2 linked regions of the Neodiprion lecontei genome follow. The protein of the gene in region 1 binds, or shares a complex with, the protein of each later gene. Links are inferred from orthologs where the notes say so. Each region holds a gene or a part of one and is shown in the gene's direction. Other genes may lie near its edges.

Region 1 (3,931 bases):
ACAGCTAATAGATGTGAAAAAAATTTTGTACTTTTCACATAATTAAGTCATATCTTTGGAATGAGATGAAAACCGAGATCACAAGTTTAGATCCGGTTCGAGGTGGAGATTTAGAAAAGAGTAATTGAAGAAACTAAATCATTCACTACTGCATCATGTTCGAGTATGTATAATAAATATCTTTTGGAGCAAATTGCCAATTTAATCCAATGTAAAAGTTTCTTTTCGTTTTCACGTCCCGCGTAACGGAGGAATTAAAGCAACTGCTTACTTGGACTCGCTCCGTAGGAACCCTCTAAACGTAAAGTGACGTTTGGCTCATCGTCGAAACGCTGGTATCCGTCCGCAGATCCAGGACTTCTCGGGGACGAGGGCATCTTCGTTGGCAGCCTCGACTCCTGACAGCCGCACGGGTAACGAGATTCTCTCGAGTGGCTGCGCGCTCGCGAGTCACCGCAAACCTGACTCCTGCCTACGCTGTTTCAGAGTTGCGACGCGACTGACGACGAGTGGTTTTCTCGCGGATATGTTGCAGATGACTAATCCGAGAATTTTTTAACCCGAAGCCAGACAACGGAGATTCGGCCGTTATCGTGATATCCCCCCGTAGCCGGGGCTGACTTCACATCAGCGGACTTCGGGCATTCCGCTTAAAAAGGCTTCGGGATTGGTTCGCCTTCTGCGTTATCTCCGATCATGGCTCCGATCAGAGTAAAGTCCAAGCTGAAAATGTTGGTCCATACTGGTTCAGCAATTGAATAGCACCGCAATGAAGATTTTTAATTTAACAGTGTTTTTACCAAATTGAAAACCACGCTAAGGCGTAGGAAAGTAACTCACATTGCTTGAATCAGAACTGACAGTCAGTTAACGCTGAAAGTTACGTTTTGGAACATTTATTAATTCTATTGCAACACGAAAATGTACAAACGTTTGTTGCAAATATCTAGCCACTATAAGTAGCAATGTTAAGACAGTAAAAGGCTTCATTGATGCCAAGTATGCAGCTATATGTTGGGTTTGGCATGGAATATGTGTAATAATTTTTAAAATCGGCAGAAAACGCGCGTTGCGCTTAGACCGGAAACGTGTGCCCTAAGTGGTTATTTCCAGCCTCGTTCGGCAGATGGAGGCTCTTTCAACCATCCGCTGGCTTCGACGTAAGTATCAGCCGCCGTAATTTTCTTCAGAGAATCCAAATAATCTAACGTTCTTGGTCGTACTGGTTTGGGAGTTATATCAAATAACATCAGTTTAATTCGCCTACTTCAATTTGCGCCTAATATTTCTATAACTCGTCACATTTTTTGCATCAACAGTTAAAATGTTTATATGGCATGTCGACACGGACGTCGATACGTCTAGCTCCTCACGTTAAATGCTGTTTATTCTTTGTTTCGATATTTTTATATACATATCATCAATTTCGTACGTGATATCTTGTATCCAAGAGTCTATATAAAAACTGTGATCTCCAATCTCTGAGATGAATGAGTTAATGCATTTGTCTTAATTTTAACTAAACATAACCTCTCCCCTAGATTACAGTGTGCATCGCCTAACGTGTCATTACAATTCAACTGAACAGTTCTGTGATGTGTTTTCATTACTGAATCAAGATCCATTAGACCATACAGGAAACTTTTCATATCCTACTGCACTTTTACGACTATTTTACTTTTGGGTTTTTAAAGTGTTTCAGTTCTGATTGAGTCATAATTTTATTACAGATGGTGGATACTAAAGCGAAGGCTCCGGCCAAACCTGCGGCTACTGAGGCCAAAAAGGATGGACGCAAGGTCCGTGGCAAACCAAGAAATCGTGATTTAGGAAATGGAGTCTACAGGTTCAGCCGAACTCGAATGTATCACAAAAAAGCTCTTTACAAGTTCATTGGCAAGAAGACCGAGAAAACTGTAAGTTAATGTTTGAAATTTAGTAAATGTACAATGTAGAAAAAGCCATCACTTAGGTTTTTTCCATATTGTAGTATTCCAGGTAAAACTTGCGTCAGATTATCAATTTGCTAAAAATTTTTTTTAATATTTTTTGAAAATTAAACAATAGCAAATTCTATCACTCAAAGAAATTTTAAAAACTTGAGTCTTGTAATTTTTCCAAATAATTCTTCATATTGATACTGAATATTATGAAAGTTGATGCTGGTATCAGTTAAAAACTCATAAAAAAATAATTTGATCTGACCAATATTATAGGTAATAATCCCTTCTAATCCAAGGTGGTTCTTGCACATTATAGCTCCATAATTTAATGAAAGGGAAATTAAAGCGATGAAATTACCAACCGATTTGTTGTTTATCTAAACAAAGTGGGTGTGAAGTCGCAACATTTAATTGCCAAGAGTCGTACAAGCATTAACGCATAATTTTCTAAATCTTTATTAACATTGGTTTTAGTAACCCAGCTTAACTGTGAGAAAGTTCTCTAGAAACTTTGTATATTTTTAGCATTGCTTAAACATCATTTTTCTCTCACACTGTTGTAATCCGATATTGTAACAATTTTTCAATCAAAATAATGGTTTATCGGATGTTCTTTGATTTAAGGCAATTAATCGGCCCAATTTATAATTTGATTTTGTAATGAAATTTTGCTAAACCACCAATGTAAACTAATCACCTGCATTGTAGGTAAAGCCCAAGAAGCCTGTGACCATTGAAAAGAAGATTGGTGGTGATAAAAATGGAGGTACCAGATTAGTTCTGCTTAAGAAGAGGAGGAAGAACTACCCTACTGCTGATCCAGTCACTGTTCACCATGCAAAGAAAACTTTCCGTGAACATGTTCGCAGACTCAGACCCACCATCACTCCTGGTACAATCCTGATTTTGTTGGCTGGGCCCCACAAGGGAAAGCGAGTTGTTTTCTTGAAGCAGCTTCGTAGTGGTCTTTTGTTAGTAACTGGTAAGTGGGCGTTCCATATGTGCTCCTCACAAGTGCAGAAGAATTGAATTCATTCGAATAAACATTATGTATTGCAGTAGAAAATAGTTCCTCTATTTTTTCAGAAAAATAAGGCCTTAGTGTTTTGTGTGTATTTTAACACATACGATTGAAACGACAGATGACGCAGTTTCAGACATTTATAGTGTTCAAAAAAGTGTGCAGTAAAGTTGTCTTAGTTCATATATTTAGAACTACTTTGAAGTAAACAGAGTTAGTTTTATCTTTTCTGTTAGTATTTTATTGCCATTATCATTTTGTGAATAAATTGTCACACGATTAACATTTTACAGGTCCATTCCTAATCAACGCTTGTCCTTTACGTCGTGTTAGCCAGAATTACGTGATAGCTACATCGACAAAGATCGACCTTTCTGGTGTGAAACTACCCAAAGAAGTAGGAAAGGACGAATATTACAAAAGGACCCAGAACAAGCGTGCCAAGAAAGAAGAGGGAGATATCTTCAGCACAAAGAAAGTAGACTACAAACCTTCTGAACAGAGAAAGATCGACCAGAAAACTGTGGATACACTAATTATTGGAGCCATCAAGAAACACCAGGACAAAAAATTGCTCTTCACTTATTTGTCAGCGATGTTCGGTCTTCGAAGCAGCCAATATCCCCACAGAATGAAATTTTAAATCCATTTGATACATCATTTATGTGTATGTCACCGCAGTGTTGTACATGTGGAATAATAAAAAATTAAAAACTTGTCATAGGCTTGGAGCATTTATTTGCAGATAGTTTCTTTATTTGATATTCCTGAAATCCGCAGTTTGTGGATCAGTGTGACCAGCGATCGTAAAATGGTCGGAAGAATCGTGGAATTCCCCAAGTTGGAACACAAGGTTTGTGTTAAATACAGTAAAATTAAATTGGATCATGTTTTAATACAATTATCCGAATATGTATTAGTTTACATTCGTGAAAAATAAAAAAATATTTCCACATCTTATTAGAGA
Region 2 (3,931 bases), on another chromosome or scaffold:
TGTTCCCATATGCTGACGTATTTTTTGTAGATTCCATAATCTGTTGATGTATAAACAAATCAAGTTATTTATGCAGGTAAATACATTCGAAAATTTTTATTAATAAGCAGTAAAATAACTTCTTCAAAAAAATTAGCTCGCAGCAATCATTCAGCACAATCTATTTGTTGATATATTGATTACATTCTGATACAATGATAACAATCAGTTTCTACCTTCATGGTCATTCAATTCTTGAATGTCTGATAACTCAAGTGCGATTTCACTCATGTTTGAACATAATTTTCAATTTTTAGAATGTTTTTATCCTCTGTATTCCTTTGTGGGATAGTTTTTTTCTTCTCCCTTCTTATTTGTGGTTTATCGGCACTTACAAAACTAGATGAGAACTTCGCAAATCACGGCTAACTTTCCTAAACACCCTGTCAAATTTTCCATTGATCAGTTGAATTATTTTCAATTACCAAGTAACTACAGTGCTATTTGTTATGATAGGTTAATCGTCGTAAACCAATATCGCCGGTGTCTCACAAGCTATTAGTCACCGGCACTCGACATTGTTGGCAGTTGGCCTTCTGAAAGGCATCTGAATTGTAGGGATCTTTAATATTTGCAAGGTAAGGTTGGTAACACTTGGTATAATTTCGAAAATATCCAATGCGAAAGATGTACGCAATATACGTGAGAGAATATATATTCAGCGTCAAATATTGAATTCACGAGTCTTCCATCGTTTCAATTTTCACTGAAAATCGAGACAGTTATGCTCAAACTATTTTCTTTGTAGGTATATTGCGCTTGGCGATAATAGCGATCACACATGACACGTCTGATATCTCCAACGTATATCTTCAGTCAACGACGTCTTCGGTCATATGCATGAGTAAACGGATTGATAAATTGGTAAAACGAGAGTAAATTATATAATTTTGATTATTTTAATGCATAGGCATTGTGTTATATCGTTATTCTATCTGTGTAAATCACGTTTAATTTTTGTGAAAAGTCAAGAGTCCCGCGATTAGACATCGCCGGAAGTAGGCTCAACGCGAGGTATTCGAATATCGAGTCCTAACCACAGTTGGTAGCTACGACAAGTTCTTTTTTCCGGTTTGCGGAGACACCGTAAGTTCTGTTCTCGTGTAATGGTTAAAATAATCTACGAACATCGGCATTTTCTGAAGTAATAAGACTGCGCATTAATTACCTCGGAAATCGTAACATTATTGTGCGTTTTATGAGCTAAGAATTCGTTTTTTACCGTGCAAGTGTTATTCGTTAATAATTGTGAATCTCGGCAGCACCTCCTATGCCACATACACGTTTGTTTATTCGTATGATTCCTCAGACACGGAAGATTTTTCATTTACTCACCTGCGTTTAAATAACAAATCTCATTGAATAACATCGTCAAATCTAAATTCAACGATCCGTTGCATTACCAAACTTTCGTTTCACACACTTGCACTTACAGGTTATGTCGGACATTCCGGAATGTATACAGCTACCTACTGTCAGCACGTTACTTTACACGATGCATTACTATGATTTTGAAACTTTCACCAAATTGTTAATTTAACATTGAATAACAAACACCAGTAACCACAATAAAGATTAGATTGATAGCGAACAAAAATGTTTTAACCCTTTTCTTTTCCTTTACAGGAAACCAAGATGGTGAAGATTATGAAAGTAGGGAAGGTTGTACTGGTCCTTAGTGGCCGGTACGCTGGACGCAAAGCTATAGTAATGCGAAATTTTGACGACGGTACGTCAGATAAACAATACGGCCATGCCTGGGTTGCTGGCATCGATCGATACCCTCGCAAGGTACACAAGCGTATGGGCAAAGGAAAACTACATAAACGTTCCAAGATAAAGCCCTTCGTGAAGGTTAGTTTGACAATGTTAAACTCGTATTCATAGCTATACAGTCATTTTGAACTTGTGTAAAATGGCCACTTGAAGAAATTTTTTTTTATTGAGGTTTTAAAGTGTGTTCTGAAGCCTGAGTCTATTTATATACCACGCTTCCCACCAAAAGTACAATATGAGTATCTTTAACTTCCAGGGTTTCTACTCCGTAAACTTGAATTTCCCTTCAAACATTCTAAATAATTAAATTTTGAATCAATATGGTTGGAAAGTACAATTTTAGTCGCTGTTTAACTAAAATATCTTGTTATCTTGTTGAAATCAATAAACCAAAGTCTATTGATGAAAAGGCCCCTAAACCGTTCCAAATGTTGGATTTATCGTTCAGCTTATTAGTTGACTTGATATTAATGTGCAAACAGAAAGAGGTTAAATAAATCAATACCTAATAGGTACTTTGTACTGTGTAACAGTAAAATGGAAAACAATAATATCCAAATTTCCTCACTATGTTACAAAGGGCTTAAGCCACGTTTGTTGAGCTTAATATAAGACGTGAGTTTTTCTTATAAATCAGGTTGAAAGAATAAGTAAGGTCATAATAAAATCTATATTGGCAGATGAATTTTTCCAATCCAAATGGTCATCTTGTCAGGAAGCTTGATAATTCTTGGTACCACAGTTGGTAAAATGATTTATAAACAGATCAATATGGTCTAAAAAAAATGAAGGAGTAGTATTTTTTTTTTTTTATTTTCAATGAATTCGAAGTAGGCCTAATGAGTTCATTTTCCCAATCAACGGCTCACTGTTTTCATTATGTTAACCATTACGTTGCACACAACCTGTGTATAACACTGGTGTCACGCTAAAGTCGCTAGAGACCCCAGATACAAAATCATTGCATGAAAACAGATATCGATTCGAATAACTTGAAAACATTTTGGGTTGTTCTTTAACTGTTATATTTGAAGGCAAATTAGTTGTCCTCAGCAATACGAAATTTTGGTTATGAAAAAAAAATGTATAGACCACAAAATACCAAAAACGGGATCATTCTAATCAAAAAATCATAAAATGAATTTTCAATATTTAGTGCTTGAAATTAATTAACTGAGTGACTTTCAAGGTACAGATATCTGAGAAAAAAAATATGGAGATAGTGCTCGATGAATAATAGGTATTTATTTGAGTGAGTAAAGTTGAATTATTGGGGAAAAAAATGAATTAACATTTCTTACGATATTTCATTATTTATCTTGAATCAAATCAGATTATTTTGGATGTTTTTCATATGGAACTTGGGTCATTTTAACCCTACTGTGCCTCATAAGGGTTAAAGTTGATGTAGTCAACACATAACATTTATTTGTTTTTTCTGTCTTTACACATAATTTCCGTATTTTTAGAAATGTGGTGAACAGTCAATTATGATTTTAATGAAGCAAAGCTTACCTGGTCTGCATCTGTAACCCCTATAAGTTAGTTTAATATTGCAAAGTAGGTGATTGGTTTTTAATTTCTCGTTACGCTCATGTCACAAACTGCTACTGTGTCTGATTTCATATTTATGTAAGAAGTTGTCTACTACCAGCCTTGATAATGAGTTTCTCTTCTCCTTGTTGTTTACTCACAGTTCATTCGCTATAGTCCAATACAAAATGAAGGCTTCAGTCGTTTGATAATAAAACACTTTATTACATTGTTCCAAATATCTGTAATTCGTAAATTTATCCTGCAATTCGTGAGTTTTAAATGAATCAATTAATAAATAAGTTACCACAGATTTGTGATTGGAATGAAAACAGTTTCATAAAAAAATTTCTTCAAAAGAAATCGTTACGCCACCTATTTTACATTGTTTGGTTTTCTGTTGTCAGATGTTGAATTATAACCACTTGATGCCAACACGGTACACCGTGGATCTAGCATTGGATAAGGCACAAATCAAGGACCTGAAGGACCCCATGAAACGCAAGAAGGTCCGATTCCAGACCCGTGTAAAGTTTGAGGAGAGGTAAGAGTACTGGATTTTGTAGATTTAGACATCTGTATT

The links.
Region 2: 60S ribosomal protein L6 (region 1) and 60S ribosomal protein L27 share a complex: the UniProt entries of both Caenorhabditis elegans proteins name them as parts of the large ribosomal subunit. The link is inferred for Neodiprion lecontei from reciprocal best matches to the Caenorhabditis elegans genes rpl-6 and rpl-27.

The regions. Positions count from the first base shown.
Region 1 is NC_060262.1:33,930,609-33,934,539, forward strand, and holds 60S ribosomal protein L6, read left to right. Parts: upstream 1-1,471; 5' UTR 1,472-1,486; coding exon 1,487-1,495; intron 1,496-1,730; coding exon 1,731-1,916; intron 1,917-2,651; coding exon 2,652-2,925; intron 2,926-3,257; coding exon 3,258-3,607; 3' UTR 3,608-3,685; downstream 3,686-3,931. Other genes in the region: two pore calcium channel protein 1, read right to left, coding at 272-377. UniProt on the Caenorhabditis elegans protein: Component of the large ribosomal subunit.
Region 2 is NC_060264.1:8,653,340-8,657,270, forward strand, and holds the start of 60S ribosomal protein L27, read left to right. Parts: upstream 1-1,101; 5' UTR 1,102-1,228; intron 1,229-1,665; 5' UTR 1,666-1,674; coding exon 1,675-1,893; intron 1,894-3,755; coding exon 3,756-3,892; intron 3,893-3,931. Other genes in the region: uncharacterized protein LOC107219125, read right to left, coding at 1-40, 216-270. UniProt on the Caenorhabditis elegans protein: Component of the large ribosomal subunit.